Arabidopsis thaliana: one gene and its partner. The protein of the gene in region 1 interacts with the protein of each later gene in a biochemical or structural test. Each region holds a gene or a part of one and is shown on either strand. Other genes may lie near its edges.

Region 1 (7,232 bases):
TTGTAAAGTTGATACCTTTCCGTTGCAGAAGAGCGTCCCGATCCTAAAATGGACCCTGCAATAACTAAGTTATATAAAGGGTAATGTTTTGTTCTATCCATTCCTTCTGCGATATTTTGAAGTGGTTCTCAAGTTTCTGAGATGATGTTATGCAGTGTTGGCAAGTTTATGAGTGAGTATACAGTTGGGAAATTGCCAAAAGCATTTAAGCTTGTTACTTCAATGGAACACTGGGAGGATGTTTTATACTTGACTGAGCCAGAGAAATGGTCACCTAACGCATTGTATCAAGCCACAAGGATCTTTGCTTCCAACTTGAAAGACAGACAAGTTCAACGGTTTTATAACTATGTTTTGCTTCCGCGAGTGAGAGAGGATATTAGAAAGCACAAGAAGCTGCACTTTGCTCTGTACCAGGCTCTGAAAAAGTCACTGTATAAGCCTAGTGCTTTCAATCAAGGGATACTATTCCCGCTTTGTAAGGTATATATTCCTCCTCCTGAACTTACTACAGTAACTATTTCAGAATGTGACTAGTTTTCTTACTAGTTCCTTGGGTTTTTCTTTATTCAGTCGGGGACATGCAATCTCAGAGAAGCTGTAATTATAGGGAGCATTCTTGAAAAGTGTTCGATCCCTATGCTTCACTCATGGTATGCGATACAAAGATTGCATAAATAGAACATCTTCTACAATTTTCAGATTATTCGTTTCAAATTATTAATTTCTTTACATGAACTGCAGTGTTGCCTTGAACAGACTGGCTGAGATGGATTATTGTGGCACAACAAGGTAACGTGTACTATTCTCTTGACTTTTATAATAGAGAGAGTTAGATAGTAGATTGCCTTCTCCCATTCAATTAAATAGTTGTGAGAATGTGCTGATAATCTCTTACGACGCAGTTACTTTATAAAAGTTCTTTTGGAGAAGAAATATTGTATGCCGTATCGGGTGCTTGATGCATTGGTTGCTCACTTCATGAGATTTGTTGACGATATAAGAGTTATGCCTGTGATTTGGCACCAGTCTCTTCTTACCTTTGTGCAACGGTAATATTCGCCTTAGTCCTTACAAAGATGTCTGACAAATCAAACAAAACTTTTTAAGTTATTTTGTAAGCTCATGCTTTAGCCAATGTGCAGGTACAAGTATGAAATACTAAAGGAAGACAAAGAACATCTCCAAACTCTCCTCCAGAGGCAAAAACACCATCTTGTAAGGCTTCTTCTACCTCTAAATTTTTTGAAAGTTTTTTGTTTTGTAGATCACCACTTATTGGGGTTATCATTGTTTGATTGTAGGTTACTCCTGAGATTCTGAGAGAGCTTAAGGATAGCAGAAACCGTGGAGAGAAAGAAGATCCTATGGTGGATAATTATATCCTTTTTTTCTTCTAATTTCTATTTGAAATTACCTTAAGAGCGTGATTATATAAATCTGAGTATGTTATGCCATGTTATGTTATTTCCTTGACAACAAGTCACTTGCCCCAGTACCGGCTAAAGAAGACAGGTTTGACATTCCTGAAGTACCAATGGAAGAAGACTGATGATTCATGGTGTTTGGTATTGAAAGAGGACTGATGATTCATAGCAGCAGAGATAAACCCTGAAACTGGGTGGGTATGATTCTGGTTTTCCAGTTTTGACATCGTTGTATTATTATTTCTTATTTGAGTAAGATTTGAAATTTTTATTACTACATGATAGTGTATCTTTAAACATGGTTTAATCTTTTTGATATAATCCAAATTTGGTCTTGTCTATATACATATTGTCTCTCACCAGCGGCGCTAGTATCCGGTAAATAGGTTTTTGAAATTTTATAAATCTGACCACTTTATTCGATCTTTTGTCAAATCAAACCCTTTCACTATATCACGACCGTCTAACAGCTCAACAAAGATCCTACGGCTGTTATTATTTCACTATCTCTAATTTTCAAAAACAAATATTTATTTTCCATTGTCAACAAAAATATTCCTCCACAATAAATGTTCTCTACTTCTCTCTCACCCATTCCTCTACTACTTCTTCTTCTTCTTCTTCCTCCATCGATCATTCTTTTTTGGAATCATCTCAGTTATTACACCTCAGTTACTGTACGGACGAATGTGGTTGCTTCTAAAGCTCAGATTCTACTTGATCTAGTACATCGTCTTCTACTCTAGATTTTTCCTATAAGCTCGCTTCAGAAATTGAGGTTTGTGCTCAAATTTCTTTTACAATGTTTCTTCAAAATCTATCTCATGTTTCTCTTAGTGTAGTTCTAGGTCTTGTTGATCTATGTATCAGCCAAATCTTTGTTAGGTTCTTTGGTTTAGGGTTTCATTCTTTGTAGTTAAATCTGTTTAAAAGATTTCATTTTGAGATTAGTTAAAGAACTTTGAGATTGTTGCCTTTTTAAGTAGCTAAAGGTCCTCTTTATACTAAAAGTTTTACATCATTACTAATCCTTTCCTTAAAAGTTGTATTAGTAACCCCATTAGAAAAAAGCTGATTAGTACCAAAAAAAAAAAGGCACAAGTGAGTTTCAGTTTTTGTTTTGCCTTATCTTCATTGTACAGTTGAAAAAAAGAATTCTTCCTTCTTGTCTCTTTGTGTATGATTAATAATATTCTAAAATGGTGAAGCATGATTTTGTCTTCTTCCATTGTTCATTGTTGCATAGTGGTTGTTTTGTTGCATATTAGCTGATAATGAAGAACAAACCTAAGTTTAAAATTTTGATTTTGCTGTTAGCTTTTTTACTTTATGAGTTAAAAATTATTTTAATTGACTTTGACTGTAAAATCTTTAATGTGTAATTAATTTTCTATGCAGGGACAAGATGGTTGGTGTATTTAATATCATCTGATTAAGAAGGAGAAACTTGTTTTTTTGGCGATAAAGATAGAAAAGAACTTGGCTTTTGTTCTTCTCTCTGGTTCAACAAAAGAATTCAAAAGAGAAGAAAGGATGATGCTGATGAGAAGAAGGTTGGCTTGCTGTAGCAGGGAGAGGGAGATTAGTATCGATTTCGATGAACATGAACAAGATAGTAAGTTACTGATTTAACCAATCTCTATTCTTGCATTCTTACACTTACGATGCTTACTTAAAGTATGAATCTATAGCTACAATGGTGACCTTTTTAGCTTTTAGGTATTGCATTTATGGGCATGATATGGAATATTTAGACTATAACTGTTGGGTGTATAGTTTTCAAACAAAAGTGAGTGGTCTTGTGACCGGTTTAGGTTTTGGTATGGGACCAATATTCAGACCCTTTAAAGATCTACACCAACCAGGTCATTCATGTAATAAATAAGGCGTGAAGTCTGTAGCTTTCCACGAGACATCAATGCCTTAATTTAATATGATGCGAGAGCATTTTATGTGATGATCAAATAACCTATCTAAACCAAACCCTGTTTCTTAGGAGGTGGGGTTTCAGGATTTGAGGGTCCTCTAAGTTTTTCATTTGTTTAAAATCATATTTATTCAGAAACTGCCAAGAGTAGGTAGTTTTATTGGTTTCACATGGTTATTAAGACTAAACAAAACTCTCATATTTCAAGGGTAGATATCATTATTAAATCAAATCACTGGTGCTTGATTAAATAATGATGTTTTTATAGTATGCTTTTGAACGTTTGAAAAAATGCCATGTCGTGACAAGTTATAAAAAGTCTTTGTAGTGGGTCCGTTTGGAAATTTTCACCACATGGGGATACTAACTCAATTGTTTTTGAGACTTTTTTATACATTTCCTTTTGAGAATGGAAGCATTTTAATTGTTTAGCAGTCTTGGGTTAGCAAAAGTCTTGACTTTAGCTATTAAAGACTAGAGGGAACACAACGACTTTTATTCCTTTTTTATCATTTGTTTTTTCTTGTATAGAAAACACAACACTAGTCTGCATAAATAACGTGTCTAGTGATACCATTTGCTTGATTCTCATTTTTGATGAATGAGACAAGAAGTAGATAGATGTACTAGGTGGGGTTTTCTTTATAGTCAAAATCTGAACGGTCTCTTAATGATACGCAGTGTTTAATTAGTTTTCTATTGTTGACCTCTTCTTTTACCTTTGTCAATCTCTTTGTAGTGTGCAAGTTTCGGTGTCTTACCACTTTGTAGTCTACAGTATATAAGGTGAAAGTATATGTGTTAAAGTTCTTACTGGGTGGTGTACCCCTTTCTTTTCAGAAATGATTACATATTATGGCTTGGAAACTTGTATTATCAATAATCAATCATATGAAGAAGAGAGTGGAACAAGTCGAGGAGATGGATGTCTTACAGATTCGTTAGATGATGATGCATTTTCAAGCTGTTCATCAAGCAAAGATGCCTCTAGCTCTTTTTCTTCGAAATGGTTACCGATGAAGAATGATGAACACAGTTGCGATGGTTTGAACTTATCTGGAAGGTCTCAACATTTTGATGCTAAGGAGAAGAAGAAACAAGGCTATGGCAGTAGCCAACATTTTGATGCTAAGGAGAAACCAGGGTATGTGTACTGTCATTTGGATGTGGAAGCTATGAAGGAGAAATTTTCTAAGTTATTGCTCGGCGAAGATGTCACTGGGGGATGTAAGGGTGTCCAAGTAGCTTTGGCTTTGTCAAATGCTGTAACACATCTTGCTAGTATGTTTTACAATTTCCTAGCATTCTTAAGCTTTATGTTCTTTGATATGGTTAGAGGTTTCGTGTGAACTGTTAAGAGTAACTGACTTTAATGAATTTGCAGCGTCGATTTTTGGCGAGCTCTGGAAATTGGAACCTTTGTGTGAAGAGAAGAAACAGAAATGGAGAAGGGAAATGGATTGGCTACTTTCTCCAACTAACTACATGATTGAGTTAGTCCCTTCTAAGCAAAATGATGCCAATGGAAGATCACTTGAGGTACGTAGCTAAGGTGTTAAAATAAATAGATATACTCCAGAGGAAGAAACTGAGCTGAATCCTTGTTTTAACAGATAATGACTCCGAAAGCCCGCGCAGACATTCATATGAATCTCCCAGCTCTTCAGAAGTTGGACTCAATGCTAATTGTGAGCGGATTATCTCTTTTGTTAATCTTGTCTTTTCTTATTCTTCTATTTCCTGATCTGATTAAAGTTGCATTACAACTCCACAGGAGACACTGGATTCTATGGTGAACACAGAGTTTTGGTATTCTGAGATTGGTAGTAGAGCTGAAGGGAAGAACAAGAGTACAAGTGAGAGCAAACGATGGTGGCTTCCATCGCCACAAGTGCCTAAACCTGGACTCTCTAACTCAGGAAGGAAGAAATTGCTTGACAAAGGAAAAGTTGTTTATCAAGTCTTCAAAGCTACAAAAGCCATAAACGAAAACATTCTTCTTGAAATGCCAGTTCCCATTGTTATCAAGGAAGCAATACCTAAAGTAAGCTTGCACTCTTTATTATCCCTTGTGATAGTCATAATTATACAACTACCTCTAAAATCTTGTTTTGTAACAGTCTGGAAAGAACAGCCTCGGTGATGAACTGTACAAGATGTTGGCTGTGGAATCTGCAACAGTAGATGAAATCTTTATATCGCTCAATCTGGGAACCGAACATGCAGCACTCGAGACAGTTAACAAGTTAGAATCTGCTATGTTTGCTTGGAAAGAAAGGATTACAGAACAAGGCAGCAATGGTAAATCCCCTGTAAGAGCATCGTGGTCATTCGCTAAAGATCCGTTGTCTGAAATTGGTCGCAATGAGTCACTCTTGAACCGAGCAGAAGCGCTTAGAACTCAGATCAAATCCAAACACCCTAATCTCCCTCACTCGTTTCTTGATGCTACAAAGATCCAATATGACAAGGTATAAATAAACAAAACTAACTACATCTTTCTTAGTCCAATGGTCTGAAACATCTTTCTTCTCTGTGTTCAGGACATAGGTCATGCGGTTCTCGAAGCATATTCCCGAACACTTGCGAATCTAGCTTTCCGGATTCTTTCAAGAATGGGAGAAATCTTGAAAGAAGATTCTTTAAGCAACCCTAACTCTCCTGCACCACCGAGTTGCTTCCCTAGCTCCCGTGACCCTTATAGGACACCTGAGAGACCTCTGCTTTCGTCCCGTGTAAGGCATTCTTTAACCGATGACATGAACAAAGCCGATGGGACAGAGACTGGTTTAGATTTTTTGTTTGCAGATGCTAAGGCAAGTAATTCAGTGAATACAACTCCAAGTAGAAGCAGTAGACTGTGGTGTTTGAGTAAAGTGCCTTCTGATACTTCTCCTTGATTTAGAGGGTCTTCCTAGTTCGATGCGTGCCACCTGAAGCTTCTCCTTTACTTTGAAGGTTTTAAATTATGAAGCCTGAGATGTTGTAAATGTATTAACATATTGCAGTTAAAGTACGAATTCATACAATTTTGTTCATAACTTCACGGTGAAAAGCAAATTTTTAATCCGGGAAAAAAAATTGATACGATTGATTATGATTAAATTTATTAGTCTCTTCCAGAAAATACTTTACAAAATAAGGTATATTCAAAACAAAAATGTCCAAAACCATAATCTATTTATAATATACTAGACTAGAATCATTTTAATTACTACTTTCTTGAAATCTAATTTGAATCTCAATTAGGTTACTATCCCGACTTCCATCTTTGAATGAAGCATTAGCTGTCATCTCGACAAATGATCAACTAACAGGTATTTTCACCAAGCCACTATCTTTTGCACACTTCCATTAAGTCACTAGCAAGATTGGAGTATAAGAAGTCTTCATTTAGAAGGGATCTATCTTGGTTGGATATGTACATATTATGGGCTTAAGGATAATTTGAAATTAGCACAAAGCCTTAATGAGTTTCCGTTTGTACATACTACCTAATAAGTATAACAAAATGGCAAGCTTCACTTCGTCTATCATCCCGACACTAATGAGGTTTTTTGGGTTGGATTTAAGTTCAACTGTGCCATCCGATACTAACACAAAATATTGTTAAAGGCCAATTATGCTTACTAACTCAAAGAAAATCGAACAGACCATAATTGTTTTCAATATAGCAAGTATAGAGATCAAATGGATCTTGATTACCAAAAAACTGTTCTTGTAAAAAATTTCATATACATATAACTCAATAAGGACCTATAACTTTTCAAAAGATTATTTTACCATATTTAAAAAATCTTTAACTAAACTTTTGAACATGACCTATATATATAGTTCAAACATCCTAACTAGACATATAAATAAAAATGAAAATTATT
Region 2 (3,823 bases), on another chromosome or scaffold:
AAGAGTTTGAAAATGTTGTTTATATTCAGTTTGAAGTTTGAATATTGAAATTGCTTGCTTAGATTTCATCCAAATATGGATAAATGTTTTGTTTTTGGGAATTTGGTTGATTCATGTGGGCATTAAAGGCTTGTGGTGGGTCCAAGCGTGAGCAGATAGTGTAAGAGACCCACGTGTGTACTTAATTCTGATGAATAATGTGTTATGTACACTGGCACAAATATCTTGCCAAGTAGTGAGTGAGTGTTTGTTGTTTTTTGAATGTGGGTTTTGTTGCAGTATGCAGAGAGCATAAAGATGGATCATGAGAAGAAAGTGGAGCAAGTGAGGAGGCTTGAGATGAAGAGAGCTGAGTATGTCAAGACTGAGAAGGCTAAGAAAGACGTCGAGAAGTTAGAATCTCAGCTCTCAGTATCTTCACAAGCCATCCAAAGCGCCTCTAACGAGATCATCAAGCTCAGAGAGACCGAGCTTTACCCTCAGCTTGTCGAGCTTGTTAAAGGGTTTGTTTTGTGCATTCCCATTGCTTCATTAACCTAAAGTATCTTATGTTGGTCAATGTGAACAAGGTTCTTGTATGAATGTAATGTAGGCTAATGTGTATGTGGAGGAGTATGTACGAGAGCCACCAGGTTCAAACCCATATTGTGCAGCAGCTTAAGTACCTTAACACCATCCCCTCCACTGAACCAACATCTGAGCTTCACCGACAATCAACTCTTCAGCTTGAGCTCGAGGTCCAACAATGGCATCACTCTTTCTGCAACTTGGTCAAGGCCCAACGTGACTACATACAATCTCTCACGGGCTGGCTCAGGTTAAGTCTGTTCCAGTTCAGCAAGAATCCACTTGTTAGGAGTAGCTACGAGTCAAAGATCTACAGCTTCTGCGAGGAATGGCATTTAGCTATTGACAGGATCCCTGATAAAGTAGCATCTGAAGGGATCAAAAGCTTTCTGACAGCAGTCCATGGAATTGTGGCTCAACAAGCCGACGAGCATAAGCAAAAGAAGAGAACAGAATCCATGTTAAAAGATTTCGAGAAGAAATCGGCTTCGCTGAGAGCGCTTGAGAGCAAGTATAGTCCATACTCGGTACCTGAGAGTAGGAAAAAGAACCCGGTGATAGAGAAGAGAGTAAAGGTTGAGATGCTAAAAGGAAAAGCAGAAGAAGAGAAAAGTAAGCATGAGAAGTCAGTGAGTGTGACTAGAGCCATGACTCTAAATAACTTGCAGATGGGTTTCCCTCATGTCTTTCAGGCAATGGTTGGGTTTTCAAGTGTGTGTATGCAAGCCTTTGAGTCTGTGTACAACCAAGCTAAGAGCATCGGTGAGGATCAAGAGGAGGTTAAGAGGTTGCTTCCTTAAAGAGAGAAAGACAAATTGTTTTACCATTTGCTCTCTGTTTTTGCTTGATCCAAGCTAATCTTTTGGTTGAATGTTAGGTTGAGTTTATGCTGTTTTCGAAATGAAATTGGTTAAATGACTTTTCATTGAATCACTGCTTGAAACTTCATCAATTCAACTACTTCTTAGCCAAGTCAAATCATTGGAAGGTGACCTACCAAGGTATTATTAACATTGGAGAAGTGTTAGTTAGTTAGTTAGTGAGGTAGTTAAGGGGATTGCTTAAAGAAGTAAGCAAGTTTAATGATAATCAAACACTCGTGATGTGTACGTAACAGAAGAAAAGAGAGATGATTCGTTTGAGCGGCAGAAAAAGACAAGTGCCTAATTTGATTTCCCATAAATAAACACACAATCGATTGGTAATTTTGATTAGTTGGGAGCTATTAAAAGAGGAAATCCACAATAATCGGAAATAGAAAGACAAGTTTGGTTAGCGGAACGTTTCAACGCCATTTTTCCCGGCCAAAGCTAACTCTAACTAACTCTTTGTTTTTTTTCGGTTTTTGTGCCATCTTCCAGTTTTCATTTTTTTTGTTTCCCCTCTATCTTTTTGGGTAATAGGGTTTCTAATCTCTGGGACAAACTCCAATCGTTTCGAATCCGCAATGCCCAGATGGTCGATCAATAGAAATATCAAGAGTCTCCAATTCCAAAGGCTAAATCTTTGAGATCTTTTTTTTTATAAATTTCCCTGAAATTAATAAACTTTGAGGGGAAATGAGCGCTTCGAGGTTCGTAAAGTGCGTGACGGTTGGTGATGGAGCTGTCGGAAAAACTTGTTTGTTGATTTCTTACACAAGCAACACTTTCCCTACGGTTATGTCCCAATTATTCTTTCATGTTTCTTGTTTCATTACCACAACAACAACATATCTCATGTTTCTTGTTTCTTTTGTGGATATACAGGATTATGTGCCTACCGTTTTCGATAATTTCAGTGCCAATGTTGTGGTTAATGGAAGCACTGTGAATCTTGGATTGTGGGACACTGCAGGTTTTTCATTTTCCTATATATCTTGGTGTTTGAAATTTGGAATATGGTTTTTGGATCTGAAGATTTTGAAAATTTGGGTATGAATAAACAGGGCAAGAGGATTACAATAGATTAAGACCACTGAGTTACCGTGGAGCAGATGTTTTCATTTTGGCCTTCTCTCTTATCAGTAAAGCCAGTTATGAAAACGTCTCCAAAAAGGTTTTAAAAATCCATCAATCTTGTTTCATATTATTGAGTTTTCGTCACATTTTTTGAACTCTTGTCACAAATTGTGTTTGCAGTGGATCCCGGAGTTGAAACATTACGCGCCTGGTGTCCCCATCGTCCTTGTTGGAACAAAGCTTGGTGAGTTTTCCATTGTTTTTTCCTGATCTCGCTCCTTTTACTTTATTAGTTGTGACTGAGTTTGTGTTTTTGCTCTCCAGATCTTCGAGATGATAAACAGTTCTTTATCGACCATCCTGGTGCTGTTCCGATTACTACTGCTCAGGGAGAGGAGCTGAGGAAGCAAATAGGAGCACCTACTTACATCGAATGCAGTTCCAAAACTCAAGAGGTACGTAGATTAGTATATATACCCTTGTTGCAGATTTCTAATGTTAATGTTAATGCTAATGTTGATGATGTGAGAGTGCAGAATGTGAAGGCGGTGTTTGACGCAGCCATCCGAGTGGTGTTGCAACCGCCAAAGCAGAAGAAGAAGAAGAGCAAAGCGCAGAAGGCATGCTCCATTCTATGATGATTGGAAATCTCTGTTTTTATGTATTTGGTTTTGGTATATTAATCTTCTAACAATGAATGAATCAATGTGTTAATGGACAGACACCCAAGTTTGACTGGTCCTTTTTGTTCTTAATATTAATGGAGTTTGTCGGAATCAACGTTTCTTTTGCTTCTACGATTCAGTCCTATGCATAATTCCACACAAACACCACATGTTTTGAATCAGTTTTCATTCCCACCATTTCTTCAGCTGACCATATTTTGTATGTTACTGTTTTAAACTTTGCAAACATGTTTATTGGTAGAGAGTGTAACTAGGAAATGAAAAGTAATGATACAAGTTTTATTTCTCAAGATTACTCTTCATGCTTCTGCAACAAGACGAGAAGCCATTGATTATTGATGATTTGCCTAACAGAATGCAAGAAATAAATTCATTCAAACCATTCCATTTTGATTTTCTCGTATTTCTCATTCATGCCACCATCTTCTTGCTGTCTCTGAAACTCGATGTAACGTAGAGTACTATTTATGAATGGCTCTGCGCCTGACTCAACCTTCTTTGTCTCGCTTTTGATTAATTCAGCTAAGCTCTTGATTGTATCGCCTGTTACTTGTTGGTTTCCTTTCTCCAGGAAGTAGAGATACCTGCATTTGACTCGTAAAACCATTAAGAGAAAGCAGTGACAACTGG

Evidence for each region.
Region 2: the proteins of ROPGEF14 (region 1) and ROP1 form a complex in vitro, tested with the Arabidopsis thaliana proteins (one study listed by BioGRID).

Annotation. Positions count from the first base shown.
Region 1 is NC_003070.9:11,325,496-11,332,727, reverse strand, and holds ROPGEF14 (RHO guanyl-nucleotide exchange factor 14), read left to right. Parts: upstream 1-1,936; 5' UTR 1,937-2,205; intron 2,206-2,825; 5' UTR 2,826-2,960; coding exon 2,961-3,042; intron 3,043-3,909; exon of another isoform or gene 3,910-4,194; coding exon 4,195-4,635; intron 4,636-4,738; coding exon 4,739-4,893; intron 4,894-4,967; coding exon 4,968-5,042; intron 5,043-5,128; coding exon 5,129-5,398; intron 5,399-5,474; coding exon 5,475-5,825; intron 5,826-5,897; coding exon 5,898-6,254; 3' UTR 6,255-6,471; downstream 6,472-7,232. Other genes in the region: AT1G31660 (bystin-like protein), read left to right, coding at 29-80, 156-483, 574-653, 745-792, 906-1,052, 1,146-1,218, 1,305-1,380, 1,488-1,552.
Region 2 is NC_003074.8:19,041,071-19,044,893, forward strand, and holds ROP1 (RHO-related protein from plants 1), read left to right. Parts: upstream 1-1,787; 5' UTR 1,788-2,126; coding exon 2,127-2,225; intron 2,226-2,315; coding exon 2,316-2,403; intron 2,404-2,494; coding exon 2,495-2,604; intron 2,605-2,687; coding exon 2,688-2,751; intron 2,752-2,831; coding exon 2,832-2,962; intron 2,963-3,043; coding exon 3,044-3,145; 3' UTR 3,146-3,323; downstream 3,324-3,823. Other genes in the region: AT3G51290 (pyridoxal-phosphate-dependent serine hydroxymethyltransferase, putative (DUF632)), read left to right, coding at 280-503, 593-1,346, 2,316-2,403, 2,495-2,604, 2,688-2,751, 2,832-2,962, 3,044-3,145; VPS35C (VPS35 homolog C), read right to left, coding at 3,564-3,777. UniProt on the Arabidopsis thaliana protein: May be involved in cell polarity control during the actin-dependent tip growth of pollen tubes. May regulate callose synthase 1 (CALS1) activity through the interaction with UGT1.